Linked DNA regions of Alligator mississippiensis. The protein of the gene in region 4 purifies or fractionates together with the protein of the main gene of each other region. This does not show direct contact. Links are inferred from orthologs where the notes say so. Each region holds a gene or a part of one and is shown on either strand. Other genes may lie near its edges.

What was found.
Region 1: the proteins of protein POLR1D (region 4) and POLR1F purify together in Homo sapiens (affinity purification with mass spectrometry; 3 studies listed by BioGRID and IntAct, counting the BioPlex papers as one, with this or other methods). This does not show direct contact. The link is inferred for Alligator mississippiensis from reciprocal best matches to the Homo sapiens genes POLR1D and POLR1F.
Region 2: the proteins of protein POLR1D (region 4) and POLR3K purify together in Homo sapiens (affinity purification with mass spectrometry; 3 studies listed by BioGRID and IntAct, with this or other methods). This does not show direct contact. The link is inferred for Alligator mississippiensis from reciprocal best matches to the Homo sapiens genes POLR1D and POLR3K.
Region 3: the proteins of protein POLR1D (region 4) and POLR1B purify together in Homo sapiens (affinity purification with mass spectrometry; 5 studies listed by BioGRID and IntAct, with this or other methods). This does not show direct contact. The link is inferred for Alligator mississippiensis from reciprocal best matches to the Homo sapiens genes POLR1D and POLR1B.

What each region holds. Positions count from the first base shown.
Region 1 is NC_081828.1:161,473,090-161,479,972, forward strand, and holds the start of POLR1F (DNA-directed RNA polymerase I subunit RPA43), read left to right. Parts: upstream 1-3,860; 5' UTR 3,861-3,929; coding exon 3,930-4,138; intron 4,139-4,221; coding exon 4,222-4,363; intron 4,364-6,019; coding exon 6,020-6,228; intron 6,229-6,883. UniProt on the Homo sapiens protein: Component of RNA polymerase I (Pol I), a DNA-dependent RNA polymerase which synthesizes ribosomal RNA precursors using the four ribonucleoside triphosphates as substrates.
Region 2 is NC_081836.1:21,216,936-21,224,283, reverse strand, and holds POLR3K (DNA-directed RNA polymerase III subunit RPC10), read left to right. Parts: upstream 1-4,489; 5' UTR 4,490-4,546; coding exon 4,547-4,657; intron 4,658-4,866; coding exon 4,867-4,954; intron 4,955-6,531; coding exon 6,532-6,659; 3' UTR 6,660-6,788; downstream 6,789-7,348. Other genes in the region: SNRNP25 (U11/U12 small nuclear ribonucleoprotein 25 kDa protein), read right to left, coding at 1-45, 535-640, 4,031-4,121, 4,314-4,457. UniProt on the Homo sapiens protein: Core component of RNA polymerase III (Pol III) which synthesizes small non-coding RNAs using the four ribonucleoside triphosphates as substrates. Can mediate Pol I proofreading of the nascent RNA transcript.
Region 3 is NC_081824.1:243,008,097-243,015,901, forward strand, and holds the start of POLR1B (DNA-directed RNA polymerase I subunit RPA2), read right to left. Parts: upstream 3,026-7,805; 5' UTR 3,016-3,025; coding exon 2,839-3,015; intron 2,728-2,838; coding exon 2,560-2,727; intron 501-2,559; coding exon 354-500; intron 1-353. UniProt on the Homo sapiens protein: Catalytic core component of RNA polymerase I (Pol I), a DNA-dependent RNA polymerase which synthesizes ribosomal RNA precursors using the four ribonucleoside triphosphates as substrates.
Region 4 is NC_081824.1:428,177,630-428,184,928, forward strand, and holds the start of protein POLR1D, read right to left. Parts: upstream 3,044-7,299; 5' UTR 2,962-3,043; coding exon 2,936-2,961; intron 1-2,935.

The DNA.
Region 1 (6,883 bases), on a different chromosome or scaffold from region 4:
ACGCATTTAGTTAGTACTTCATTAAGCAAATACTAAACAAAATGTGCAGTATCTGCTGCACAATAATGAACATATAGATGCACCCACAGTCTGCCTTTCCCTCACTCAGCCCTTGATTCTTGTTATGGTCCACCAACTTTATCTCAGCCAGCATCTGCATCCTGTACTGATTCACAAATTTTACAATCTTCTTAGGCAGACAAGTTTTTTTGGGGTAAGTGTAATATCTTTTATTAGTCCACCTGGATAGTTGGAAAAATTGTTCCTTGCAAGCAAAGTTTCAGGCACAAGTGCCCTTCCTCAGGTGTAAGAAGAGTCTGCTGGTCTTTGAGGGCATTTGTACACATGCTGGCACTGAAGTGCCACACACTTTTAAAAGTGCCTGGTGCTGCGGCACATACATTTGTATAAACGGTGAAATGCACCTCAGCTCTGAGAAAATGGTGGCAGTATGCTTTTGAACTAAAACACATCAAAGGTGTTGTAGTTCAGAAATGCACCACAGCCATTTTCTGCATGCTGACACGTATTTCACCACTTATACAACCACGTGACGCAGTGCAATGCGTGTCAGCTCATGTCTGGAGCAGATCTGATTAACTGAGTCTGCTCTGACATGCCAGATGTCCTGCACACTGGAGCATGAAAATGTAAGTGGACAAATGCCCTATGAGGCCATACTATTAAGACTATAGCAGGAAAATGGTGGCCTTGGAGATTCAAGTGGCCCCCTTGCCCTCTCCCCCTCACCAACCCCAACCTCCACTCCTTCCCCCTGCAGCACCTTCCCTGCACTTACCATCAGACCCTGCTCAGGTTCTGCTCCAACTCTGAGTATGTATAAGTGAGGGGCAAATTTAAATCATAAAGGACCAAAAAACCCCAATGTTGAAATAAACATGCTTTTAAAAATTTGGATATAAGGAAATTACTCTGGGTATATATACACTTAGTTTATCCAGAAGTGATGTGTCCCCCTTTGGGTGCAAACTGCAGCAAGCATCAGCACAGGCAGTCCAGAAACACACTTATTATGATCAGCAGCACTTTTGAATTTCTCTATCTGCAGCTCAGGCAAGGAATGATAGTACTCCAAAGCCTAACAGCTCACAGCTGAGTCACCAGCATTTCAGGCCATGGTAACCCCAGAGCCTAGCACTGCTCAGTATGTGTTTGTACTCCAGATACCCGCAACAAAGGATCCATGTGCTAATTAGCTGCCAACACAATTGGAACCTTTTGTTCTTGTCATGAGTCCTTGGACCCTCCAAACAGTTATATGCAAATGAGGCAGGAAGCCCCTGATCCAGCTTCTCCCTGTAGGGCAAGGCCATACCATTTAAGGATACAGAAGGTAAAACAGTGGCGCGGTGGGGCAGGTGCTCCTTGCTCTCTGACCCCAAAAATTCTTGCCCATGCAGTACCTTTCCCAGCCTTCATATGAGAACCTGCTCAGGCTGTGGTTGCTTTTGGAGCATGTAAAAGTGAGAGGATATTTCAGACACAAATGACCAATAAACACTATCTTTGAAACAAATTTGCCTATAGTAATTTTTATATTGGCAAATTACTCTGGGTACCTACAGACTTAGTTCATCTGGATATAATGCATTTCACCTTTAGTGCAAGCTGCTGCAAGCTTTGGCACAGGTAGTCCAGACAGACACTCTTGGCAACACTTTCTTATTTCTTCATATACAAAATTTTTTTTTTTAATAAAATTTCATTTCTGGGGCCTTTACAACACCTTTACAACATCGAACTTCCATTACAATACTCATACTGAGAACCCGCATGCCTGTCTGCATCTCTTTACCCATTACAATCATGCTGGACCACCTCCGTTCCCTCTGTTACCACCCATTTCAAAAACTAATTTCTATTTTACAGTGCTTACCTCCCTGGAAGGGTTGGTCAGTGGGCATGAGGAATCATCCAGGCAGGGACAAGCTTGAGCCTGCACTTTGCTGCTTATCTCCTCACACCTCCAGGCAGCCTTCAAAGGATCTGGCAGCACCCTGGTTGAGAATCACTGCTCTAGTCAAAGAGGGGTGCCTCAAATCTAAAAAAACATTGACACCCACTGATATAGACAAATATATACTTTGGAGCAGCTTCAAAAGCGGGGAGGAACATCTGATCAGGACCACACAACAGTACTTATGCTGTACTGTTACCTGAGAATGAGGTTGTGGTGACATAAATCAGCTAAATCAACCTCAACTTTACCTTGCGTGAAGCAGGATTAAAACTAGAGTAGTATGTGCATCCTCAGGGGCTCAGACACATGTAGCACTTACATTGTAACAGTTACTGCACTCCTGAGAACTGGCTCCCCACTCTGCTTTTGAAGTTGCTCCAAAGGTGCTTTTCTCCATGTGTCAAGGCATCTACAGACTTCAGGCATTTTCAAAGGCAGGCAACAGATGACCCAAGCTGCTCAGTTCTGTCCACACTTGGACAGTTCTGGATAAGCAGAGAGATATAACTCTGGTCAACTACAGCAAAAAGGGCAACTCTATAGATTAGGTATCCCCAGAGTTAGATGGTAATTAAGTAACTCTACTTAGGAAAATGTAGGTGCTTCTACACAAACCTTCCTAGTCCCACTTCGTTCCCCTTAAGGATTAAAACACTGCACAGCTCAAAGAGTTCAGCCTCTATTCCAGTGTTCTTCAATCCTTTCATCTCAAAGCACCCCTCAATAAAGTTGAGGCACCCCTCAGAAAATGTCAGTTATTTTCGCTTATTATTTTCACGCCCGAATGAATCCAAGGAGCCCGTGAACATCACCCTGTGAATGTCTGCCAGAACGCAGAAATGGGTATGGGACAGGAAGATATCCCCCAGCCACAGTCTCCTTCCTAGTCGTACAGGTGGCCAGCTTAGGAGAGCACATTGGCCAGGATGTCCCCGGACTTGGCAGGGCCACGGGCAGGGAACACGTGAGCAAAAGGTGCAGGGGGTAGCGCAGCCACAGCCTCAGCAAGAGCTTCCCAAGGAGGTGCTGACACAACCGCTAAGATGGCTTTGTCCCTGGAGATCCCATCATCCCGTGAATGACGCACGCGCCCCTGACAGCGCTACCCCTGCGCGGGCCCCCACAGCCCCCTTCAGAGGGGCTCCAGGCTGCACGCGGCTGAGCCTGGCGGCTCTCACCTTTGAGCACAGGCTGAGCTCTGGAGCTAACTGGAAGGAGCCAAAACCACCGAGGGCCAGTCACAGCCTCCAGGTGGCTTGTCCTTTGCCCTGCTGGCTGGGCCTGGCGCAGCGACAGCAGGGTCCCGAGGGCATGTTGGGCCCTGCCCCATGCTCAGAGGATGGACAGTGTCGTGACACCTTGTCGAGCACTAACTCTGTAGCCCGTTCCCTCTCCTCACCTTTTCATAGGGAGATGAGGACTTTAATGTGACTTTCCATTAACTGCATAATATACACAGTGTGTGGCAGGGGCCTTCCCAGCCCTCATCCCTGCATCATCTGACATTAGGCACAGTCAGGCCTGTACCACCCAGGGGCCCCTCCAGCCCTGGCTGCTATGAGCTGGGGCCAGCCCAGGGCTCTGGCTACCCCGGGGGAAAGAGGTGCCTTGCAACGCCCCCGCCCGCCGCTAGGGGCCGCGCTCCGCCCGCTGCCCACGCGCAGCATTGTCTCTCCCCCAGGAATCCACCTCCAGCCAATCACCGCGCTGAGCCCCAAAGCCCCGCCCCCTCCCCTCCTACCGCAGGGAGCCCGGATGACAAACGCTTCCGCCGGCCCGCCCAAGGAAGCGGCGCCGCACTCGGCGTTTTCACGAGTGTGCGCGCGCACACCTGGAAGATGCGCTCTTCCTCCCGCACTTCCGGCCCCTTTCCTGGGGGCGGCGCCCTGGGAGGCCTGGCGCGTGACGTCATTGCCATGCGCCGGGATGAGCGGCACGCGGTAGGGCCATGGCAGCGGCCGCGCAGTCCCCGGTCCCAGCGCCCGGCCTGGCGGTGCCGTCCTTCGTGGCGGCCTGCGACCTGGTGCCGAGTCGCTACTCGTGCCTGGTGGTGGTGCCACATCGCAGGCACATCGCGCTGGCGCCGCGCTTCCTGCGCCGCAAACTCACGGGCATCCGCGACCAGCTGGACGCCGGGCTGCTGCGCTACTGCGACAGGTGCGGGGCGGGGCAGGGCAGGGATGGGCGGAGGGAGGGAGGCTTAAACCACTCGCTGTCTCACTGTCCTGCTGCTCCTGCAGCCTGGGAGGCGTTCCGCTGGCCTACAGCCACGTGAAGATCGTGGGGGCGCTGGGCGACATTTACGACGACCAGGGCTCCATCCACCTTCACATCGAAGCCGACTTCGTGGTCTTCATGCCCCAGAAAGGGACCAGGCTGGTGGTACGTAGGTGACAGCAGCGCGGGTGCTTCTTGCACCCACTGAATTTCAGCTTGGGCCAACTCTGGGGAAATGGATGAAGCTGGCAGGGGGTGGGGGTGCCTCCTCCTGCCCTCCTTCCCTGCCTGCTCTGCTGCTTTGCTCCCTGTTCCCTCCCCAGGCTGACATGTGGAGGCTGCTTGTACTGCCCTGGGCCTCCCCCTGTCCTAAGGTCTTGTGTTTATCTTGCACCTGGAGCTACCTCAGGAGACAGGTTTACCTTTTGGGTTTTAAGATGCTGTTAATTTAACGCATGAAGTGTAGATGCATCTTCCCCCGAAGGCCTGTTAGGAGCCAGATAGCAGTATCTGTTTGATTCTGTCATTGGAACAGGGTCATGCAGTACCTGTGTGCCCTTTTTTGGCACAAAAACCAGGTTTTGCTCTGGAGTATTTCAAATAACGAGCCATGAATCTCTGCCATGTGGAAGGGTGGTTTTCAGAGATGCCCCTGCCAGTACTTCTGCAGATGTATGTGTAAAAGTAGATCGAGATACTAACTTGCTGATAGGCACAGAACTGTGTTAAACAGTTCACTTTAATTTAGCAAATTGACCACTTCCACATCCAAAGTCTTAATGGCAAAATAAACATGTTGTTTTCAAAGCATGAAAGAAAATTCTACTTTAAGAGCATTGAAAGTAGAATTATGTGGCTATGAATGGAACATTTAAATAGAAACATGACTACAGCAGTAGTCACAGTTAATCTTTATGAAAGTACAGTTTTTAGAACCCTTTTTCGTAAGCAGGGCACATTACCTGCTTCCTTTCCTAATGTACCATGCATCTCAGACAGGTTTGAAAATGTTTTTTCTTGTCTGTGTTTTGTCGTCTATCATATTCTTTCTTAGCATGCCTGATCATGAGAGATTCTTGTGGGTTGTGGCATTTTAAGATCCTATTATATGTGTAGGTACTTACTAAGGTCAGGCTGACATTTTAGCATATTCTTCTTTGCTGTTAAGCATCCTAATTTTGCATTTTGTAATTTGAAAGACAAAGAAACAAACAAATCTTAGAAGTGACTTGAGTATTTACAGCTGTGAAGGCTGTGTGTCATACAAATTGATTGCATGCTTTGTATGTGTAAACTCTTACATGTGCAGAAGTCAACATCCAGAAAACTCCAAGCAGATTTAAAATGTAGGCACAAGTGAAAAGAAAAAAGGAGCTCTCAACCAGTGCATTGCTGAGATGCTGCAAAAGCATCTGTGAGGGATGCAAAGTCTCAGTTGACCCTTAACCCCCTTTAAAAACATTGCTGCAGCCTCAGGTAGAATTTAAACTGAGATTAGATGTGGCAGAGAGCTGTCTTAATGCAGTGCTAAATAGCTCCTCTGAGAGACTACCTACCAATTTCTTCAGGTTCAGTACTGGGTAAACACTGCTACACTACTTCTGTGTGGATAGCTAGCTTTAGGATCAGTAACTTGCTGGGAAGAGGAGCATATGGGAAGTAAACTGTGGAGCTGTGCATGGTGCTGGAAAGGAGACAGGCTGGCAGGGGAGAGACAGTGCCAGGCACCTGGGATTGGTTTACTAAATCAAATGTCAAGAACCATTGTATTAGCAAATGTGAAACCTGAATCAAATTTGATTGATCTCTTTCTTTTTTTAGGGTGTGATCAATAAAATTGTCCCTAGTCACATTGGCTGTCTGGTACATGGATGTTTCAATGCTTCCGTCCCTAAACACGATTGTGTGTCAGCTGAACAACAGCAAGACCTTGGGTTAAAAATAGGAGATACATTGGAATTTGAAGTTTCTCGCTTAGATTCTGATGCTGCTGGAATGTTCTTCATCTGGGGACGTCTGACTAAAGACAGGTTCAGTGATAAGATTATGATTATTTTTCTTACATTTATTTAAAGACTACATGATAACACTGAATGTCTTGTCTTAAATCTAAACGTCTTCCTGTCTCTTAAATATAAAATTATTTTAGACTGTATATAGCTATGGATCCTATTAACAACGGAACTTTAACATGATTTACCTTGGAGTTTGTTAAAAAAAAATCCAAAGTAGCTAAAATAGTTTTTAAAAAAAACAACATTTTTCATGCAAATAATCTATTGCGTCACACGTACATGTTACAGAATGTCATGGTCAATTAATTCTTGAGTGGTGTTTAGATAATTTTATAATCAAATTTGTGTTATGGGTTAATCTGAAAATCTAAAGTGATCAGGTATGCACCATTTTTTCATTTTTTTTTAAATACTATGTTCAGCAGAATTTCAAAGCAAAGTACCAAAAATATTTATTAACTAGCAAATTGCCCATCAAAAATGATTGGAGTGGCATGGGGGGACAGAGGCCTGCATCCAGCCCCCCACCCCACTGCCTTGGGCTGGGGCTGTGGCTGTTTCCCCTTGCTACTTGGGGCCTTTTCCCCGCCTCCTCTTTCGGCTAAGGCCAGGCCCAGGCCTGCTCCCGCTCCCCCACTGCCACTTCGGCCTGGGCCCCGCAGTACCAGTG
Region 2 (7,348 bases), on a different chromosome or scaffold from region 4:
TTCTCTCCAGCAAAGGTTAGGTGATATGTTCTCCACACATATTTCCTGCAAAATCAGAATTCTGTGAGTTAAAGGACAAAAGGAACAGCAGTTAACCACATTAATTAAAAAGTAGGAGCAGAAAAGGGACAAGCAAGATATATGACTCAGTGAGTACAACTGAAGCTTTCTGATCAGCCAGGTCAGGTAACCACTGAATTCCTGGTTTGTGCAGTTTGTCTTTTCACGGTCGTGGTGCTCATCTCAAATTGCAGTGACCAAGCAGCTGGACGTTCAGCCTGTCTCAAATGAATCTTGCACAGGCTTTTCCTAAGCCCCTGAAAATACTTTACTTTACCAGCTAGTCATCAGCAGGCAATTCTTTCAGTTTGATCAAACACCAGCAAAACTATAAAACAGAAAAAATCTCAAAATTTGAGAGTCAAAAAGAAAATAGAATGGTGACTGCTATATGCAGCCCTTACTGCAGAAGAAGAGGGTAGTGCTGAAGTTTAGATTGTCCACAGCACACCTTGCCTTTCTTTGAGAGCTTACCAGCTAACATGCTGTATACCTCCTTCCCGCTCCTGTTTCAGCTGCACATACCGCTGGATGGCTTTCTTCAGGTCCTGGACACTGGCATTCTGTACCACTACTACAGCTGAAGGGGAGAAGACTTGCAATTAATAACACCAGGAGATATGCTCTGAAAGGAGGCAGAGCTCCAGGCCCTACCCTTACCTGCTAGAAGCTGCACTTTATAATAGGAGCTATTTTATGCCACAACCACTCCAGAACCCAGCCTGAAGATGGAACTTAGAGGGCACCAACCCAACTGAATAGCTGAGGAATGAACATGGCTAAGTCTTCCTGTCTGGGTCAGTCTTCACAAAGGAGGTTGCTTTATAGCAGGGGTGGGCAAAATATGGCCTGTGGACACTATCTGGCCCGCAGGGCCCCTAAAAAAAATGTAGAAAATTAAAATGCATTTGTCCTTGGTTCCCATCAAAAATGACAGGAACAAGGGGTAGTAGGACCCAGGGGAATCCTCAGCAGGATCCTGCAACAGCAGGGCCCCTCCGGCCCCGGCCCCCCAGCTGGAAGCCCCAACAGGGGAGGAAGCTCAGGTAAAGGTGGGGAGGGAGGGTGGCAGGGAAGGAGCTGGTGCAGAACGCAGGGAAAAGCGGCCCCTCCCCCACCCCATGGCCAGCCCTCACTACTGCAGCCACTCACAGCATGCATGGGGCTGTCCTGAGCAGGCACAGAGCCCCACACGGGGCTGGCAGTGGGGGCGGGTTACAAGCTGGTCCAGAGCATGGGAAAAGCGGCCCCTCGCCCACCCCCTGCACTGCAGCTGCTCGCCACCCGCCTGGGGCTGCCTGTGCCTGCTCAGGACAGCCCTGCGCGATGTGTGAATGGCTGCAGCAGGGAGTGTGGACCATGGGGCAGACAAGGGGTGGCTCTATCCTGCGCTCCGCACCAGCTCCTTCCTTGCTGGTGAGCAGGGGTTCAGGGCTGTGCGCTCCCCCAAGCCTGTACCATGGGGCTGGGGGGGGGGGGGGGGGGGCACTGGAAATGAGTGGGCGCAGGAACACAGGGCTCGCACCGGTGTCCCAGCAAGGCCCAGAGCAGGGGTATAGGGTTCCAGCTGGCAGAGGCTCTATGGAGCCGGGCCAGCTCCCCCCTCTTCCTGCTGGTGCAGCCCAGCTCCACAGACCCCTGCCAGCCTGCACCCTGTTCTGGGCCCCACCGGTGCTGGCCCTGGGACATCAATCCCAAGACATTGGGACACTGTTCCCAAGATGGTGGCCAGGGGGCAGGGCACCTGTCAAAGGACGGGGCTACCCATGCAGCCCTCGACAGCTTGCCAAAACTGGGTAAGCGGCCCTCCGCCTGAAATAATTGCCCACCTCTGCTTTACAGCCTTTAAGCTCCAACCTCGTACGTTTGATAGAGGCAGGTTTGAGGTGACGGACCAAATGAGAAATCATTACAGAACACTGTCAGTAAGCTGTATTTCTGCCTGCCACCAAGGTAGGGTATTAATCAGGTACTTCACCCAATTACACACCTACTCCTCTGGCTCCTAAGTACTTCAGGGTGCTGGGCTGAGGTTCGTGAAATTGTGCCCCAGCCATCTCAGTCCACTCAATGCACCAAACTGCAACTGCCCACCTTGGATCACATATGTAATTTCTTCTCCACTTGCTAGAAGATGTCACCATATTGTGACAACAAGGTAGGCATTAAGACCAATATCAAAAGACTAGCTTTGGGAACCAGAAATTAATCGCTATTCTCTATCAATAAGGACCTACCAAATTCATGGCATAAGTGGGGTACATGGCAGATCCTTCAATCTTTCATGCTTCCTCGTGTGCCCCTCCCCGCAGTTATTGATTGGCATAGGGAGCACACTGCTCCCTCCTAATTGGTAGGAAATGAAAACCATGGTTTTAATTATGGTGTGGTTTTTGCCTCCCCGCCAGCCAGCAACAAGCATCAGGGCCACTGGGGCCCCTCAGCCAGTCAGCGGCAGGAGGCAAAAATGGTGCCAACTAGGGGTGCACTGATAAAAATTTTTTGGGCCGATACTGATGGCCAATTAGCAACAAGCCACATTGGCTGACACTGATCCAATTGCCAATATACAGCCCAACAGCTCAGAGAGCAGCATCAGGCTGGTAAGTCTGTTGTGGGGAAGGGGCACGGGGGGGGGAGGCAAAACAAGGCCCCCATGGTGAGGGATGGAGTGTGATTGGGGCAAGGACAGGGGCAGACACTGCGTGCACTCCTGGAGGAGGCATAGCGGGGCACGTGCCTCCTGGACGTGTGCACAGTGTGGCACCAGACTCTTTCCAGTGGTGAGGGCCAGGCTGAGGTTACAGGGGGCTATGGCAAATTTTGGGATGGCTGTAGCTCCCCCCTCCCAGCACCACCCATCCTGAGAGCAGCCCAAGCCCAAGCCCCACCCATCAGGCAGAGCCTGACACTGCTCCTGGCCCAAGTGCACAGCAGCAGCTTGCCTTTGCTCTGTGCACAGATCTAGGAGGCATCCCTCCCTTGGGGGTGCATGCAACAGCGGAATGTGACTCCCCGTACACCATCCAGACAAGCCGCTTATGGCGGTCTTGTGCCCTGTCCTGGCTGTGCAGCACCTGCCCCAGCCCCACTCCCTTCTTCACTGTGGGGGCCTTGATCTACCCCCAACCCATTCCCCCCCCCCCCCCCCCCTCGACTTACCAGCTGGATGCTGCTCTCCATGCTGATAGGCTGCGCTCTTGGCCACCTGTGTGCTGTCCTGTGCTGCGCTGCAGCTGTGTGCATGCACGCAGCATGTATTGGCAACATTACTGCTCACAGCAGCCAAAAAAGCCGATTGCCAATAATGTCAGTTTTACGTTTATTGGTGCAGATATGATATGTACCAATATATCACTGCACCTCTATTTAAAACTGCAGTTTTTTCCTAACCACCAACCAGGAGCAAGCTGCAAGTGTGGCCCCTGCACTAATCGGGGGGGGGGGGAACCTGCAAGATTAAGGAGCAGCAGTGCACCCCACTTGTGCAGTGAATTTAGTAGGTCCCTATCTATGGATCTGACCCCAGGTCTGCTTGGCTTTACTACTAGGGTACTACTAGGGCTTTACTGCCTGTCCTGATGCCAAGGGCTTACCAACTAATATACATTTCAGTTAAAGCATCTCCTTCCACTCCATGTCTGTGCGGTCCTCCACTGTTTTCGACAGATGCTGCAGAGCACTCAGACATGCTGGAACTCGTAGGGAACAGGACTGAACATTATCACTGTGCAGGCTCTTCAAGAGCAAGCATATTTAAAGGACTACATGACATAAGACTGCTCCACAGCAGCAGGAGCAAGAAGACAAATGCTGCCCCTGCACAATGCCCACAGGTTAGCATCCCCGTCTCAACACCACGTGTCCCTATGTGCGCGGTGCTCACCCATCCCCACAAAGCCAGCACAGCCAACGTGAGGCCGGGCAGCCGCCAAACAACCCCAGCAAGGGCAGCGCCAAAAGCACTTACGCATCACTTCCTCGTCGGCTTTGCACACGCGCACCGTCATGGCCTGGCCGTACTCCAGCGCGATTTGGGAGTTGATTTCCTCCGGGGTGACCTGTCCGGGGCAGAACAGCGGCCGCGCCCATGAGTCCCGCCCCGGCCGCCCAGCAGCTCCCTCGCTCCGGGCACTCTCGTCGCTTCCCTGCAGCGGTGGGCCGCGCCCCGCACCCGGCCCCTCTGAGCCGCTAGGAAAGGCCGCGACGCCGGGCGCCCTCGCAGCGCGGGGGACGCGGCGCTCTGGACCCACCTGCACAGGGAGGTCGCACAGCAGCGGGTCCTGCACGAGCCTGACCAGCCCCTCCTGGAAGAGCTCCAGCACCTCTGCGTGCGCCAGCTCCTCCTCCTCCTCCTCGGCCTCAGCCTCCGCGCCGCTTCCGTCCGCCGCCGCCATGGCCCGGCCCGCGCGGCGGCTCGTGGCAGCCGAACCTGATCCGCCGGAAGTGGCGGGGCGGGGCGGGGTTCTGGCTGCTTGGCGCAGAGATGCTGCTTTTCTGCCCGGCCTGCGGCAACGTGCTGGTGGCTGAGGAGGGGCCGCGCTGCCACCGATTCGCTTGCACCACGTGTCCCTATGTGCGCAACGTTACGCGCAAGGTAGCGCCCTTCCCCCCCCCAGCGCTGGGTGCGCGCTCGCGTTGCCCGGAGCCGGCGGCGGGGCTCGCGGCGTTGGCCGACACCGTGTAGCAGCCGCCGGCGCTGCGGCCGCTCTTGGCTGCGCCAGGGTGCGGGGGGGGAGTCGATGAGACGCGTGCGGGGGGCCGAGCACGGGGCTGCAGGCGAGTGAGTTTTCCGGGCGCCTCCAGGTGACCAGCAGGAAATACCCGAAGCTAAAGGAGGTGGACGACGTCCTGGGAGGCGCCGCTGCTTGGGAAAACGTGGATTCCACAGCAGGTGAGAGCCGGTGCCGGCCTGGCCTCGTCGGTCCTGCTGCTCATCGCCCCCGCACGAAAGGTGCTGCTGGTGCTTCCTGTCCAGCGGCGCCTTCGGCTTCAGCCCGCTGCCCCACACTGTTCTCGAGCCCAGTGCCTTGCATGCAGGCACGCTGAGCTATCTGCTCTGCAAGAGAAGCCACTGCCTTGAGTAGGTGGGAGGATTAGTCTGCACTGGGCTGCACTTAAGGAAGATGGATCCTGAAGTGATACAAGCTGTGCTTCTTCCACACAGGGACAGTGGGAACTCATGGTGCTGCGAGGGATGGTTCTTGGGCCACAATACTTGAAACAATTGAAGGGTCATGTTTATCCATTCTTCTCTTGCCCACTAAGCTCCACATGCATGCTACAGTGCTGTCTTTCTGGGTCACTAAGCAGTTTGAAATGATGATTCTGAGAAATGTGAACAGCTCCCTCTCTCTCTTGTCATCTTATGGTGTTATTCTAAAGCTTGACTGTGATAATTCACTTGATTTCCTATGGCTCCAAGCAGTAGTGGAGGGTTTTTATGGCCAGCATGTTAGCCACAAACCATGGATTGGCGACCACAGTTTGACAAAATGTCCTAGCTTTGATCATTTTAGTATGATAGTAGTAAGATGAAGAGGCCACAGAAGTGAAGCATGGCCCAGTTGAGAGTGGGACCTAGAAGTTCTTTCAGAAAAGGGAATTGGATTGAATAGAGAAATCTTACCGTTGCTTTTGCGAGTTAGGGAAAATGAATAAAGGGGAAAGAAAGACGAGAAAACAGAGCAGTAATTGTGTTTGGTAGTTGACAAATTAAATGCACGCTCCCTTTTAGAAGTGCTGAATACGACAGTCGTGTACAAAACAAATGTGATGTTTAGATGCAACATAAGATGTTATCTATCAAATATAGATAATTTTGTGTAAAGCCTGCAGCTAGAATCTGCTGTGGATTCAGAAGCAGAGTTTGAAGCCCTACACACATCTTGGCCTGTGAATTGACATAGAAAATGGAATTCATCTCCCTCTCCACCCTGTGTGCCTTATCTTTAATCTGACATGTCTGCCTCTCTCACCTCCTTACAAAAGAGAGAAGACCACCTGACTCCAAAATTGCACTGTGGCAGTATTGCTGGTCCTGGTTGGTTTCATGAAACTGCTGTAATTTCTGTGCTAGTCCTTCTCTACTCCTAGCTCTGAGTGGGACTTGCTTTCTGCTAATCTCTAGTCTGCAGGAGACATGCTGGCCTTTTGGTAGCCAGGGTTATTCAGATCTCCTGCAACTCTTAAGAAACTAGATGGTCCTCACTGATTTTGTTTAATCAGTTGATGTAATGGAGTGTGCTCAAGGACAGGAAATGTCCTGTGTTAGAGATCCTACCCCTAAAGTTCCATTAAGTTTTCTTGGAGCTTAAAGTTGGGCAGATGGAATGTTTACAAAAAAAATCCATCTCTTGGGTTAATGGTTTGTGGAAGGTTGAATTTAAGTAGAACCTACCTACACCCCTCTGTGACATAAGGAAGAATTGCTCTGCCAAGCTCACTTCACTTCTAATGTTTCTTTTTCAGAACCGTGTCCCAAGTGTGAACATCCACGTGCCTACTTCATGCAGATTCAGACCAGATCAGCTGATGAGCCTATGACCACATTTTATAAGTGTTGTAATGCTCAGTGTGGCCACAGGTGGAGGGATTAACTTTCCTATCATATGTGTTAGTTCTTGTTTGTTCAAAACAAAACAAAAAATCCAAAAAAGCATCTCCATCTGGTTTGTTGAATGTGAAATGCTAATTCTAATATAATAAAGGGCTTTGTCTGTCTGTAACACTTTTGGGCAAGTGTGTGCGTGCGGTTTTAAACTGGGCACATTTCTCTCTCCCAGGAGGGAGAAAAAAATGGTGCCAACTTTAAAATCACAGCTTTTGTAGCTGCTTCTCTGCAGCCATGTGGGGCCCCTCCCCCAGTGGAGCTGGGGAGGTAGACTGGGGCTGGGCTGGCCAGGAATGCAGTGCAGTGCAGGCAGGGGGACCAGAAGCGCTGTGCTGTGCAGCAAGGCAGGGAGCAGCGCTGGGGGGGGCCACAGCCCCCCAACATTCACCTTATCACCTGGACCTGCCCCTCCCAGCACTGCCACCTGAATGAGAGGTGGGGTGCAGTGTTGCCAGCCTGGCCCCTTGCACATGCATGGCTGCAGGGACACAGCCCAGCATCAGCTCCCTCCCGGTCAGTGGGTGGTGGGGGGGGGGCAAAGATGGCTGCCTCAGTGTGATGGGGAGGTCCTGGGAGGGGAAGCTGTGTCTGTGTGTGTGGACATGTCTGCGTCTGCACTTAAGTGCGTGTGTGTGCATCTCTGTGCACGTGTGCTCATCTGTCTGCACATCAGGT
Region 3 (7,805 bases), about 190 Mb from region 4:
CAAGCTGTCCTGTGTTTCCAGAAAGGGAGGAACAATGTCTTGTCAAGGCTGCTGCACACCAAGCTACTAAAATTTCATATCGACAGTGGGTTTTGCTTGCCTCAACCTGTGATTTTGCCTTACTGAGATGAGGACTGTACGTGCCCTGAAGGTCAAGTGACCTGAAGCAGTTTAGAGGCCAGGATTTGATTCTGTTAGGGAAAAGATAGAATTTTTAGAAATAGCATATTCTCAAAAAGTGTGCCAGATCACTTCTACAAAGATGAGCTGAAATCCTTTAAGCCAACTCAAAACTAATTCCCTTTAAATACTGCATATAGACATTTTTTCCAGACCCATCAAAATCCACTTACCTCTTCTTCCTCATGATGTTCAATCAAGGCTCTGGGAGGAAGATTATACAAATTGCAAAGTTTAGACTTCACCATAATTGGAACATATCCCAAAGGCTGCTTAATAATCCCTTTTGGAATTCCATTCACTGACCAGCTGATGTCAGCCTAAGAAGAAATGCAGCAAATTACTAATAAAGTAAAAATACAAACATGTCAGAACAAAGCAACAGTACACACTCTTCAGTACAGAAACAATGAGCAAAGTTACATTTCTCACAAAGAAACACTATGCTAGCTATAACACCTTATATAAACTACAGAGCCTGATGCGTACACAACATATATTACTGAAGGGGAATGGAACGCCTGCACATTTTTTGGAAACAATGTAAGAACATCCTATTTGGGCAAGCATTCACCAAGCAAAACTAGGATGCAATGTTGTGCTGAAAGGTCTCTTATCTTGATTTTCTAGTTCTCTTTTGAGCTGTTTTGGCCACCTTGTCGCTTTCTTATTTTTAAATTATTCTGTCTTCTTACTGTAAACTGCCCCAAGTCTTTGCTGGGAAGGGCGGCATATAAATCGAACAAACAAAAAACATTTTTTTGGTAGGTAAGGCTATACTGAGATTTCCATATAATCACATTTTCATTTGCTCATATTGTTTTGAGTCAATACTTCTCATGTTTTGTCTGCAAATCAGATAGCATTAACAAGTTTTTTTAAAAACTTCCTCGTATTTGAGTTATTCAAGGCCAAATTATTCTTATAAGGGGAGAAAATGTAAACTCTTCTGTTATGTACAGTAGAAGGTTTGAAATGTCAGTGTGAATGGAGTCATTATTATTATTTATAATCTCCCCACACTAAAATTAACAACTGTAAGAATTAAAGTTAAAATATGGGTATTGATCTGCCAACACGTTTCTACCCTGGCAGGGTGCACACTGACAAACTTTATATAGCCTGAGTGTTGTCTATCATAACTGTAAGCTATACCCTGTTGTACAGCACTTCACAATAACTGCACAAACAATAATCAAAAAAAGTATTTGTTCTTAATACCAGCAAAGAGACTGGTGTACTGCTGCTGTGGTCAAGAAATTACTAATATCACTATCAAGAGGAACAAATAACAGGCCAATAAAAGTGGAGACAACGTGAAACTCCAGTTAGGCAAAGAGATACTTGCACATCTGGGAAACTCTATAAACTACGACTACTTTACGCTACAAAAAAGACAAACAGATTAAGAAATGGTCAAATAGAATGCAGGGTGCATGGGATGATGGTATAAATTTAATGCAGTTAGGCAAGGGGAAAAAAAGAAAAGAAAAAGAGCTTCCCTGCATTCTGCTGACACAAACACCACTAGTCAAAAATAGAATAACATGTGTTTAATGTTCAATCCCCTTAAATAAAAAGTTGTTTACAAAGAAAATATCATTTCATATGCTGTTAGAAAGATGGACTCTCCTCACTTTTTCATGAAATGCTCTGCACACCTGTTTATAAAATATGCACAAATGGTACTTGCACAAATGATCACTGATCCCACCAGGTATAGAAGGGTCAAGACTATTGGAAAACCAGGAATGTCAACTTTCCAGTACCACAAGGCAGAAGTCCCTAACTTTGTCATTCTGTAAGAGAAATATCTTCTAATGGATGCACCTCCTCTATACCTCACCTTCACCCCAGGGTGATCCAGAAAAGATCCTAAAAATGCCTGGCCTAAGGCATGTTTCTGAGCTAATGATTTAGGGCAGCAGTTCTCAACCTTTTTTGTACTGGAACCCATTTGCCAAGATGGATGGCTTGTCCAGACCCATTCCACCCTTGCCCTTCCGGTGCCCTACCCACAGTCCCTTGCCCCCCTGGCCAACTAGTGCCCCTCACACCCAAGCCTCCAACTGACTGCAAGATCTACCACAAGAGGTTCTGAGATCTACTGGTGGATCAAGATCCACTGGTTGGTGACCACTGTACCAGACTGTGGAGCAGCATGGTTTTTAACCCTTAAAAGTACTATCTAAAATAATGGGGGGGCAACCTTTTGGACAGGTGTTCCACAAAATAGCCTTGGACCTCCCTGAATGCTCTGATTTCCCCTCCCCCCTGACCTGCTGCTCTGCTTTCTGCTCCCTGCCCTGCCTGCTGATCCCTGCCCGATGTGCCCCCTCCCCAGCCTGGTGCGCGCCATGTGGCGCAGGCGGCACTTACAGTCAGCTTGCCGCGGTAGGTGCTTCGGCGCCCCCTGCACTCGGCCGGGTACACCTTCAGCTCCTTGCAGATGCTGGCCTTGGGCACCATGGGGGGGCTGATGACGGCACTCACGATGGCCAGCGCGATGCGCTCCTCCTTGAAGGCGAACTCCAGCGGCGGGATGGCCTGCGCCGGGGACACAACACGCGCGCTGCACAGCCCGGTCGAGCCCGCCGAGGGGCCCCGCGCCGCGCCGCGCCGCGCCGCACCCCGCCCCGCCCCGCCCCGCCCCGGTACCTGCACGGCGCGGTGCAGCCCCTCGGCCACGGCGCGGTCGAAGGAGTCGAGGTGGGCCCGCGTCAGCCCCTGCAGCGCCGCGCGCTGCTGCTCCCGCGGCCGCCCGTAGCCCAGCGCCGTGAGCGCCGCCAGGCTAGGCTGCGCCGGCAGCGCCCGCCACGCGCCCGCCACCTCCATGCCGCCGCCGGGCCCGGGCGCACTCCCGGCTTGCACCGCGCCCAGGCGCCGCCTCCTCGTGAGCCTGGCGGGGCCGGGCCTGGGTAGCGCGTGGGTCGGGCAGCCCGGGTACAAGTCACTGGTCCGCGGGGCTGAAGGCGGCTCCTTGTTCCTGGGCCCTTTTCAAAGCGAATGGGGCTTCCCCCAGTGCCAGGGACAGTGCACGGCCCAGCTCGCCTTCCTGTGGGCCCTGCAGTCACTGAAAGAACGACGTCCGGTGCCCAGCCCGGAATAAGGAGCTGAGATGAACCTGGGCGTAGAGAACAAAATCCTCCTCGGGGCCCTCCAGCCACACGTCTGCTCCGCGCGCGGGGGGGGCCACCAACGACACTTCTGAGCAAGCCCAACCCGTGCCAGCCTGCCTCCTGGCAGGCCCGGGGAAATATTTCGGGCCTCCCGGGAGTAAGGAACTGGGAATACAGAGCTGGAAATAAGGATCTAGTGTCAGCCGCATGCCCTCATGGCCGCTGATAAGCAGGGTGCTCAGTCACCGTGGGAGAAAGCTGAACCTCAGCAGCTCGGTGCAGGTGGGGACAGACCCAGCAGCATTCAGGTGGCTTTACAGTGCCCAGGAGCTGGGCCTGCTCTCTGCTGCGAGGCATGTCCTATATGTAGGGGCCTACCTTCATCACAGCATAAGTTCACAGCACACAGGTTTAAAGTGCGACGCTGCCATTTTGAAATGTGGGGATACTGATACATGAGATGCAGGGGCTGGCTGAAGTGTGTTAATTAGCACACCCCAACAGACTCGAATCGAGTCTGCTCCAACACGCTGTAAGTGTCCAGTCCCACCAGGGTAGCGCCTTGCTAGACCTGGTCTTAGCAATGGGATGATCTCATGGGGAACCTGCGAGTACACAGTGACCTGGGTGATAGTGACCATCACTTGGTACAGTTCACTATCCAGGGAAGGGTGAGAAAAATATCCAGTGATGCTAAAGTTTTAGACTTTAGAAGGGCCAACTTAGAAACCTAGTTAGTGAGGTGGCAGAACTCAAGAGCATTTAGCTAATGGGGTCCAAGAGGGTTGGAAGTTTCTCAAGGGAGTGATCCTTGGGGCACAAAAGGAGTCTATCCCCTTGTGCAGAGAAGGGGCTAAGGGGATAAAAAAGCCCCCTTGGCTGAACAGGGAGCTCCAGGAAAGACTGGGGGCAAAAAGATTTATAGGCAGTGGAAGCAGGGGGCAGCCACCAAGGAGCCATAGACCACCCTGGTGCGCTATTACAGGGAATCAGGCAGGCCAAGGCAGGACTGGAGCTTAGGCTGGCTTCAACAATTAAGGACAATAAAAAGTCCTTCTACAGACACACAGTGAGCAAAAGGAAGGCGCAGAGTAACATTGGGCCCCTGCAGAACAAATCAGGTCAGTTGGTGGTTGACGCAGAGAAAGAGGCAGAGAGCTCTTCAGTGAGTTCTTTGCTTCAGTATTCCTTAATACTGACCAAGACAATTCCCCCACCTTGAGCATAGACAGATGTCCAAAAGGCACCAGACCACCAAAGGTTAGTGCTGACTTAGCTAAGGAGCACTTGGGAAGGGCTGGATGGGTACGAACCCAGATGACCTCCATCCACAGGTGCTGAAGGAATTGGTCAGTGTCATAGGTGAGCTGCTGGCATGGCTGTTTGAGCTCTCATGGTGCTCTGGCCACGTCCCTGAGGACTGGAAAAAGGCCAACATGGTGCCCATTTTTAAGAAGGGATGAGCCAGGTAACTTTAGGCCAGTCAGTCTTACCTCTATCCCTGGAAAAATACTGGAAAAAAATAAAGAGCGCATTTGTGAAGGCCCAGCAGGGGAAACGATGCTGAAAGGAAACCAGCATGGGTTTGTCACAGGTAGATCCTTCCTGACAAACCTTATATCTACTTTAAGGTAGATAAGGTAACTGGCTCAATAGCTGCAAACAAAGGGTAATTATTAATGGATCCATATCAGAACAGCAGGAGGCTTCAAGTGGTCCTACATGGGTCTGGCTTTGGCCCAGTGCTGTTCAGTGCGCTTATTGACCATTTGAATTCTGGCATAGAAAGCTTCTTGAGCAAGTTTGCGGATGACACAAAACTGGGAAGCATTGGGAATATGTTGGAGGATGTGAGCGCAATTCAGAAGGATCTCGACAGACTGGAAAGCTGGCTAGAGGCAACAGGAGAGAACTGGGCAAGAGTTCATTGCAGACAAATGCAAGGTGCCACACCTCAGCAAGAATAATCAAAAACACAATTATAAAATGGGTGACCCTTAGTTGGATGATAACACTATGGTAAAGGACTTGGGAACTGTCATGCAAAATGTGAATGTGATTTTTTGAATGCATCATTAGAAGCATTAGGTACAAGACACAGGAGGTGATAGTGTCTCTCTACTTAGTACTGGTTAGGTCTCATCTGGAGTAGTGTGTGCAGTTCTGGGCTCCACATTTCCAAAAGGACATGGAGAAGTTAGATGATCAAGCATTTGGAAAGCAGGTCATGTGAGGAGAGGCTGAAGGAGGTAGGCATGTTCAGCTTGTGGAAAAAGTGCTTAAGAGAGGACATGATAGCAGTCTTCCAATACTTGAAGGGCTGTCATAAAGAAGAGGGGAAAATGGAGAGGAGGAAGTGGACCATTGGCTTGAAGTTGCAGTAAAATAAATTTAGATTGGAAATTTGGAAAAACGTCTTCACTGTTAGAATAGCGAGACAGTGGCATAGATGGCTAAGAAAGCTGTGGACTCTCCATCACTAGAGGTGTCTAAGAAGAGGTTGGATAGTCACTCGTCAGGGATGATCTAGGTATAACTATGCCTGCATTCCAGTATGGAGATTTCCCATGTTTCTAGGCTTTGCGGGTTGCTCCCACCCCTGCTTTCTGCTACATGTGTCAAGGTGTTTTTAAGTCTTCCTCAGAGACATCAGTTGTTGGCTACAGCCAAGGCTGGGGACTTTGTCTGGCCTGTGCCAATGCTCCTGCTGGGACCAAAGCTGGAGGTTCTTGGCTAGAGGGTCTTGCCCCTTTGCTCAGGGCCAGACAAATGCCATATTTAGGGTCAGGAAGGCATTTTACCCCCGGTCAGATTGGTATGGGCTATGGGGGGTTTTGCCTGCCTTTTGTAGCAGGCAACCATGATCTCTACCTGGGATCTCTGGAGCATATATTGAAAATGTTTCATAGAACATTAGGTGCTGTGGCTCCTTTGCTTTACCCTTGGCAGGTTAGGGTGTTAGGTTTGTGTTGTGTCAGGGTTGAGGGAAGTCGTATGTAGAGTTTAGATTATGGATTGTATGGGATGGTTTGGACAAGGATGTTCCTGCCTCAGGCCGGGGGTTCAACTTGCTGCGACCTCTGGAGGTCCCTTCCAGCCTGTCTTCTCTGATTCTATGATATTATGTTTTATGTTGTTCATCTTAAGTTACCTGTGAATGTTTCTCTTCACTGGGGGAACTGAGAGTAGGTCTGAAATACTCTTTTAATGTTGTCTCTGTTTAATTTCCAGATTCCATGCAAGAACTATGGCTGTATGCAGCATTGCAAAACTCCTGCCTTTGGTTAGTCTCCTCTTCAGCTACTCAAGTGCCCCTTACAATTGCATTGTGCAGCCTGTGGTCTGTGCAAAAAGTGTCTCCAGTCCTACATGCATTGATGGCTTTCAAGCACTGGGTTAATTTACAGGGATGGGAACTTTGGAAAATGAAGAGAAGTGGCTGTCCTTACACAAGCTGGATGAGCTTTGGAGGAAGCTCCATCACCTCTGATCTCGAATTAGGCTTGTGTTACTCACCAGCAATGTCTCTTGGTGTGTGGGAAGTCCACAGCTGGGATTTACAGGCCTTGGGAACATGGTCAGGGAAGGGGCACTGGGCAGGAACTGATAGCAACTGCATGAGTTTTGGTAAGCCTCATGCTGGAATAGGGACCAGGAATTGAATGGTTGGATGCAAGTGTTGGTTAGCAATGGAGTTAGCAGCTTTGTGGAGCCAGCACACCCACAGGCATTGCCAGGGGTGCCAGTCAGTGGGTACTAGGTTGTGGCTATGGCATTCTGTTGGTTTTAATTTAATAAATCCTTGTCTCCCTTGCTCATACCATGTCATGATGCCTTTCCCTGCAGACACTGAAGAAAATCCTTGGGGCTGTACGCCAGCAGCTCCTGTGCCCTCTACAAAGAATGGGATCCACAGCTCCCAGCTCCCTTCCCAGTAAGACATGAGAATGGTAGAAACCCAATGGTGGCAGAGAGGGTCTTGCTGGGAGAGGTCTGCCTCCTCTTTGTGCCTTGGGAAATCTTCCCCATTGCATTAGGGCATTCTGTGGGCATTGCTTACCCCTACCCATGGGGACAATTCACACTGGTTGAGGCTGGATTTCCAACATATGTCCCAAACATGCAGCAGCTGTCACAGCTGTGGGGACAGCAACCTGTGGGGCCCACATGATCTCCCTGATGGAAGTTTTTGGAGACTGTTCTGGTATTAGTCGGGGCCAGCTTCTAGTCAGTTGGGGAGTCTGTGGCAGGGAGAAGAGCTGGGCCAAAGGCTGCACTCTTGGGGGGGTGGGCAGTTCTTACGCTCATCCCCAGGGCTGCATCCATAACCCTCTTGCATTGAGAAGGGCATGGTTGAAAATGGGTCCATCTCAGGAAGGGCAGGGAGGCCCTCTTCAGCATGCTGTGCTGGGGCAGGGCAGGGAGGTTGGTAGAAATTGCAGTGGCTGGTGGCCATGCTGCGCGTACCGCCCTGGGGCTGTTGTGAGAAACTGCTCTGCGAAGAGG
Region 4 (7,299 bases):
AGTGCAAGTTGTGCTTGCAGGGCAGTGAAGGAAGCCTGCATTGCCCCGGACCATGCTGTAATTGTTTTATGACGGTTAACAGGAATATCATTAGACTGTCATCTCAGATATGATTCTATCATATTCTGCATAGCTGTAGTGTTGATAACTTGCTGTAAACTATGTAGTCTTTCTTCCCAGGCAATCTCACAATAAAGTGTGTAATGCCAACAAGATTCACCAAGGAGGTAAGCGCATGCAGGCTGCTTCCAAACCAAAAAGTAAGAGACCTATTATGACTGGATAGTCAAATAAACATACATTTATATTCAGTGCACTCTCTTGGAAGTGCCATAATTCAATATGTAAAGCAGAATGAATATCTCATCCCAACCAAATGCAGAATAGCAGTCACTTTATTCTCTGATAAAATGACTGCAGTCAATTTTGCCACAACACTATGACAGGGTGACATTAACTATCTATTAGCGCATCCATCAATAAAAAGTCAGGGTATTAGGCTTTTTTTTTTTTATTTGAACTAAAAAACCCGAAGCTTATTTTCAATCTGCATTATGATCAATTAGATTTCCAAAGCTTGGCTAGAACAGCTATCAGTATGCATCACTAGTATTTTACAGTGAACAGAGAAGACATCCTTTCCCCGTTTTTCTTCATTCTGTATGGAGGTTTGATTTTTATTTATTCATTGTACAGGAGTACATTTCCTCAACGGACTAAAAATCTCTCTCTGCGCTGTATTCTTAATGCACACATGTTTCTTCATAGACCCCTCAAGAATAATATTGCCAAGACTAGTCTCCTGTGCATACCTCTCTCACCTTTGATGGTTGTGTTATTTTTGCTAGATCACAGAGAGGTACTTGTACTTAGACATGTTACTGTTAAGTCAGGTAGATGGCAGAGTAGAGCTAATTACACCAGAGATGCATAAGCTTTCATAAGCTTGAGCATACTTCATTAGGTGCTGTGAAAGGACATGCACACAGCAGTCTATGTAAAAATAGTGAGAGTGATTTGAATACAAAAGGCAGGGTAGATTTGCACCTTATAGACTAGAACAGTTAGTCTATGAAGTGCAAATCTACCTTGTCTTCTGCCTGACTTCAAACTAACACGGCTAATTACCTCACTATTCACAGGATACAAGACAGAGAATGGATAGAGTAAAGTGGGGGTAGATAATAGCTAGGGACCTACTGAATTTGTGGCAGTTGTTATCTGATTTTGCAGTTTGAGTACAGGGCCAGGCGCCATTTCTGCAGTGCCACCCTCCACCCCGTATTCCTCTGATTGGCCAAGGGGCCCTGGAAGTCCTCTTGCTCCTGAAAATTGATAGATGGCAATCTGTTAGTCTCCAGGACTGCCAAGACTTCCAGGGCCCCCTCAGTCAATCAGAGGCATGTAGGGGGCAGCAGCCCACCACACTCCACTGCAAAAATTTCCCCCTGCCCCCCCACCCTGCTTCAGGATGCCAGGGCTTCCCGCCCTTTTCTGGTTTTGCAACCGCCCTCCCCCCCACCCCGCCCAACTTGCTGCTGATTTTGTACCTTTTCTCAGTCCCTGTGCTTTTTCACGGGGACCAACTGAATTTGCGGTTTTCTTGAAAATCCCGAATTCAATAGGTGCCTAATCATAGCCAAGCCAGGGAATCAGGATCAGGTAGGTGGAGTGAAACAGCCCTCCAGGTAACACAGGTCACTTCTACAGTCAAGTTCAGAATTCAGCAATATCTTTTTCTCATTAAAAACCTGAATGCCCTCTCCAATACACTGCTCTCCAGAATGCAGCAGGATAGATAACAAGCGGGCTGCCTACAGCGAACTCACTTTTAGGGTCAGGACACCTGAAGCAGCAGCTCTCAACCTTTTTAGACGCAAAGAATCTCTCAGAAAATGCCAACGCTTATGTTCGCATTCTTTGACTACAAAAAATAACAGAGCCATTTTTCTACTGCAAAGACCATGATGACAGGGCAGAACATTTCCTTTCATTGTGGACAGCTGGATAAAAACATCAGCTTGGTGCCATCAAGAAGGCAGACAAAATGCGAGGGATTATTAAGAAGGGAATTGTAAACAAAACAGAAAGTGTCCTTATGCCGCTTTATAAATCCGTGGTGCATCTACACCTTGAATGCAGTGCCCAGTTCTGGTTTTCACACCTCAAAACGGAGGCAGAAGAACTAGAGATGGCCCAGAGAAGAGCAATAAGGATGGTTAGCGTATGGAGGGGCTCTCCCAAGGGGGGAGACTACAGAGCCTAGGCCTATTCAATTTAGAAAAGAGCTGGTTGCAGCAGGGGGCACGAGAAGGATTTACAGACCAGTAAATGGTGAACAGACAGTACCAGGGACAGATCATCGACTCTCCCGAGACAGGAACTAGACAGTCACAGAATGAAGCTAGCAGGTTGCGAGTTCAAAACCAATTAAACCAAGTTTCTTTTCACACAGCAAGTCATGCAAGTGGGAACCTGCTGCCCTCACACGCGGGGGAAGCCGACAGTTCAGCCACATTCACAAAGGGCCTGGACAAATTGTGGGAGGAAAGCAAAGGGCACCAGGACCAGGGAGCGCGGGGCCCGGCCCGGAGGCTGCAAGGGCGACAGGAGCAACCTCGGGCAGACGCGGCCCGCGAGCCTGTGCCGGCCAGGCCGCTCCGCACTCCCCTGAGGGAACCTCCACCTCCCCTCGTGCCCTCCACGCCCAGCCGCGCCCGCGCGCAGCAGGCCTCGCTGGTCTGCGGAAGACACAAACAGACAGGAGAAGGCCTCACTCGCCCGGCGGCACAGGCCGCGGAGCCGCCGGCCCCGAGCTGCGGCAGGCCCCCGCGTCCGCGGCGGGCCACACGGGGAAGGGGAAGGGGAAGAGGACGGGGCCCCGCGCCAGCAGGAGCAAGGCCCGCGCCCGCCCGCCCCCAACGCCGCCTCTCACCGCTCCAGCTCCGGGTCCTCGTCCATGGCGGCCCTTCCCCCCGCGGACGGTTGCAGCACCGCGAGGCCGGCCGGGGAAGGGGCGGGGTGCCGCCGGGCCACGCCCCCTTCCGCGGGCGGGGCGACGCTGCCACGTGCGCCGATGGGGGCGGGGCCCGGCTGTCCCCGCCCCCCGGTGCCGCCCCCGGCCCGTCGGCTCCTGCCCGGGGTTCGCTGGTGGCCGGGGCTCGGCGGCGGCGGCTCCTCCCCCCCACGCCCTGGGGCCGGGGCCGGGGCCGGGGCGGCCGCGCAGTGCGGGACAGCTGCCCCCGGGCCCGGGGCGGACGAGCCATCCGTGGCGGTGAGTAACTTCCCGGCTCGGCTTAGGGCGTCTTCTCCCGCCCGGCCCCCAGCAAGGGCATCGCCCTGGCCCGCGCGGGGAGGCCGGAGCTGCCGGAGGACCGCGGGCGCTGCAACAAGTGTGGGGCGGGCAGGAGCATGGGGCGGGCTCGGGCGCAGCCAAGTTTGCTCTGGAGACCGCGGTGCGGGCAGGGGCAGGCGGCTGCCGCCGGCGGGGGGAGGGCGAGTCCCCTCTAGGCACCTCCGCATGTGCTCCCCGAGCCGGAACCCTTCCCACGCTGGGCTCCGGTCAGGGGGAGAAGCCCTGAATAAACAGGACTGCCTCCCTGTTGTTTGCCAGTCTGACATTTAATATTGTGCCGGGAATAAAAAAAAAAAAAAAAAGTCCCCCCCCTTTATTTTGCATCCCTGACCATTGCTCCAGGCGCAGTCAGCATCATGGTTGCAGAGGTGTGAGGAGAAAAAAGGGTTCATCCTTTTTTTCCTAGCCTATTGCCATTCCTCCTTTCCAGCACAGAAATGAGGTTTCTTCATGGTGGTTCTGGTCCTGCACTTGCTCAGAGGGAGGGGAGTGGGTATTTGCTGGCTGCAGCTGCAGGCTGGAAGAGCTACAGCTATTCTTTTCCCAAACCTGAGCTGTCATTATATGCTGAAGGCTGCACTGAAACCTAAATTGCATATGCAACAAAACTGATATTTGTGTTTCGGCTTGTGTACGAGGGATTGACTGCGGATGTATTTATTCAGCCTGTTACTGAAATACGTGTATGCCGCTCGGATGTAATTTTATGAAAGAGTTCTAAGGGCTGAGGAGGAGTTGAATTACTGTGTGTGTGGGAGGAAGAAAGAACAGCTGCAAGCAAGCCCCTGTTATAGGAGTTGGGTTCAGGTTATGTGTTTCACAACCCTACCATAGCAAATCATAGCTAAATGTACACCTCGAAGCATCTATAATAGACAGTTATTTCAGAAGAGTAAATTTCACTCTCTCTTCTCTAACAAAGGCCCTATTTTTTATTCATTAGTTTCTATCTGTGAAAAATCTGTAATAAGGGATACTTCAGAGTCATTCTTGCTCTTGATGAAAAGTTAGTAATCAGCAGTGTAGCGAACTGGTAATTTTGGATGTGCCCATGGCAAATATGACAGTCCTCTGTGACTTTTTTTACTGTGTTGCTAATGTATATACCATTGGATTGTTTACTTCAGTAGAAATCCACTATTAAGCAGTTCTGAGCCTTGTTTAATTCCTTTTTTAATTACATTACAATGTGGGTTTATTTTTGTCTTTCTACAAAGTAAAAATGTCTGTTACGGATTAACCCCAGGATATGGTTGATGATAGTGTCTGAAAATAAATGTGTGTGTTTGGCCTTCTGTTAAAAAGGGAAATTATTCTGAGCTAGACTCTTCATCTCATTAAATAAGTTGATTGATTGATGCTTATGCCTCTTCCCACTTCTTTTTGGCTTGCTGATGTTTTACCCTAAGCATGTAATCTGACAGCAGATAAGGAGGCTTAGGAAGAAACATCAGATGGTTTGAGTTAGCATCCCTACCCACTTTCAAAATAAAGATGCTGGTGCCATATGTTGCTGTGCTTTGTTAAAACAAATTTCCTCAAAATGGAGCCAAGGTGTATACATCTCCTTTCAGGAACATTAGTGTGGCTTAATAAAGCACTACTACCATAACTTTTCTGAGGAGTAGTAGTGGGAGTCCTGTCTCCCTCTACTTGGTGCTGTATTAGCTGATGAAGTATTTCAGGAAAAGAAGGATTGGAATAGGCTTACAAGCAATTATGGAGGAAGTCAGCTGGTTAGCACAGAACTGTTAGATAAGAAAACATTGCATGGTGAACTGGAATGATTTATAAAAATAACCTATTTGCCTTTTTAAAATTACTACAGCCCACTGATATAATTAGTAATTACAAATAAATTATTTAAAATCAATGCATCTAGTAATACCTTCCTAACTTGCTGAACAGTTCATCCTTTTTTAGGCTTTAGTTGCATCAACTCAAGCAGGCCAAACCTTGACCCTTGAATTCAGCCCCAGCTAGAGAAGTCAATAGAATACTTTCACATGTCCTGTCAATAATTTACAAGCCTAATGTCCATTTAAAATGAATCAATGTGTTTTTCAGTGAAACGGTAACAATTTTGCAAGAGGATTAGGCACCACATACTGGTGTTTGTTGCGGAAAGATGCATTATGTTATTTAAATATGAACATCTTAATTTTCATTTTTCAAAAACACGGACTCTGATACTGCTGACTGTTCTCACAGGTGCAGGGGTCTGCTCAGAGAAGTCCGGTTGATGTCAGTGAAGGTTTACCTGCCCAGAGCAGCCTGTGCCAAGACCCTGATGCACATACTTGTATATTTATATCATGAACTTATTTGCTAACCCCACCCCATCCCCAAGTTGATTAGCTTCTGGTGTAAGCATCATTGTCTAACTGAAATATAATATGCTTCAGAAAGCAAGCAAAGTAGGTCAGGTCCCTAAGTCCCCTGCTAATTTTTATGGCTTCATTTTCTCACACTTTTAAGAAATGTCTTCCATTGTTTGAACCTGACAGTGCAGAAGGGAGAGCAGTATTGATAATCTCCCTCCTAAACTAGAAGTGGAACATATGGAGATTGTCTGTTTAGTCACTGGATAAAGCTAAATTAATTTCAGGAATCTGTAAAATGTAGCTCTTGTTAGGAGTTATTAGATGTTAACATCTGTAACTAAAAGGAAAGCAGCACTCACTTAAAGCAATGCTCCCATACTTGGTGTAGAAGATGAGAGGAAGCAAAAATTCCAGCCTTGTAACCAGTGAATTGCCTTTGATATTTGAAAGCTTCATAATGATTGTAAAGCAATTTGTTAATATGATATCATTGAATTATATGCTGCTTAATTGCTTTATTAGGCCAATAGAGCTTGTTGTTTAGAAAGTCTACTACCTTTTTTAAGATGCAATCTGTTTAAATGCCACTATGTAATTGTTGGGTCATGCTTTCTACAGTGCGATAGAGAACTATAAAGTTGTAATGCAGGATTTTTATGGCTTTAACTATAAATATTTATATATGCACTTAAATTTAACTGCATTTTTTGTTGCAGTCGGTGGGACTATTTTTGCATTTCATTTTAAGTTTGTGCATACATATTTGCAGATCAGGATTTATATCTGTAAAGTTTGAGATTAAACACTTGCGTGTTTTGGTATTAAACATTTCATGTTTTTTATGAAGTGTGCGTTCTCTGGTAGGGATATGATATGGATATATAACTTCTGGTTTGGAATCGCATTGGTTAATGTGAATGCCAGTGCCTAGATCAGTGCTTCCCAGACTCTTCCTCAGCATGACCCCACTCATGGCCCCATTTCCTCAACATGGCCTTTCACTCTCAACCCACAGCCCCCCACCCTCATGACCCCATCTGATGATGTTGCAACCCCATTTGGGGTTGTGATCCGCAGTTTGGGAACTGCTGGCCTAGACGCTTTTCCAACTTGCAGCTATGCTCTGGGTGGTATTAGCTTAATTCAGGCAACATTCTGGCATATGAGCTGACATGGTACTTTCAGGACTTTTCTCAATAATATGAATGTCCTGCTCTTTACTTCAAGTGTTTTTGATATGATCTAGCTTACGTTAGAAATAGTTACAATGCTTTATTTTTACATATATTTTAATTAATACCATTATTTCCCCAGATAATGGTGGTTGGTGTTAATCCACGTTTTCCTTACAGGAGTTTTGGTGAAAAAAAGATGTGCGGTTGTTTCTTTCAAGGAAGTAGCATATTGATCTGGGGTGCTCAGTTTGCTCCATCCAGCTAATTACACAGTAGAAGAACTAGGCATTTTTAAAAGTTTTTATGGTAATCTATATTTCTATATGTCAAACACACATAGTAAGGTTCTAAATTTTCATATAACTTGTACATTAGATAGTAAAAAATGATATCTGTATGGGTATAATTATGCAGGCTGGTGAGGAGAAGCGTATAGCATGTGAGG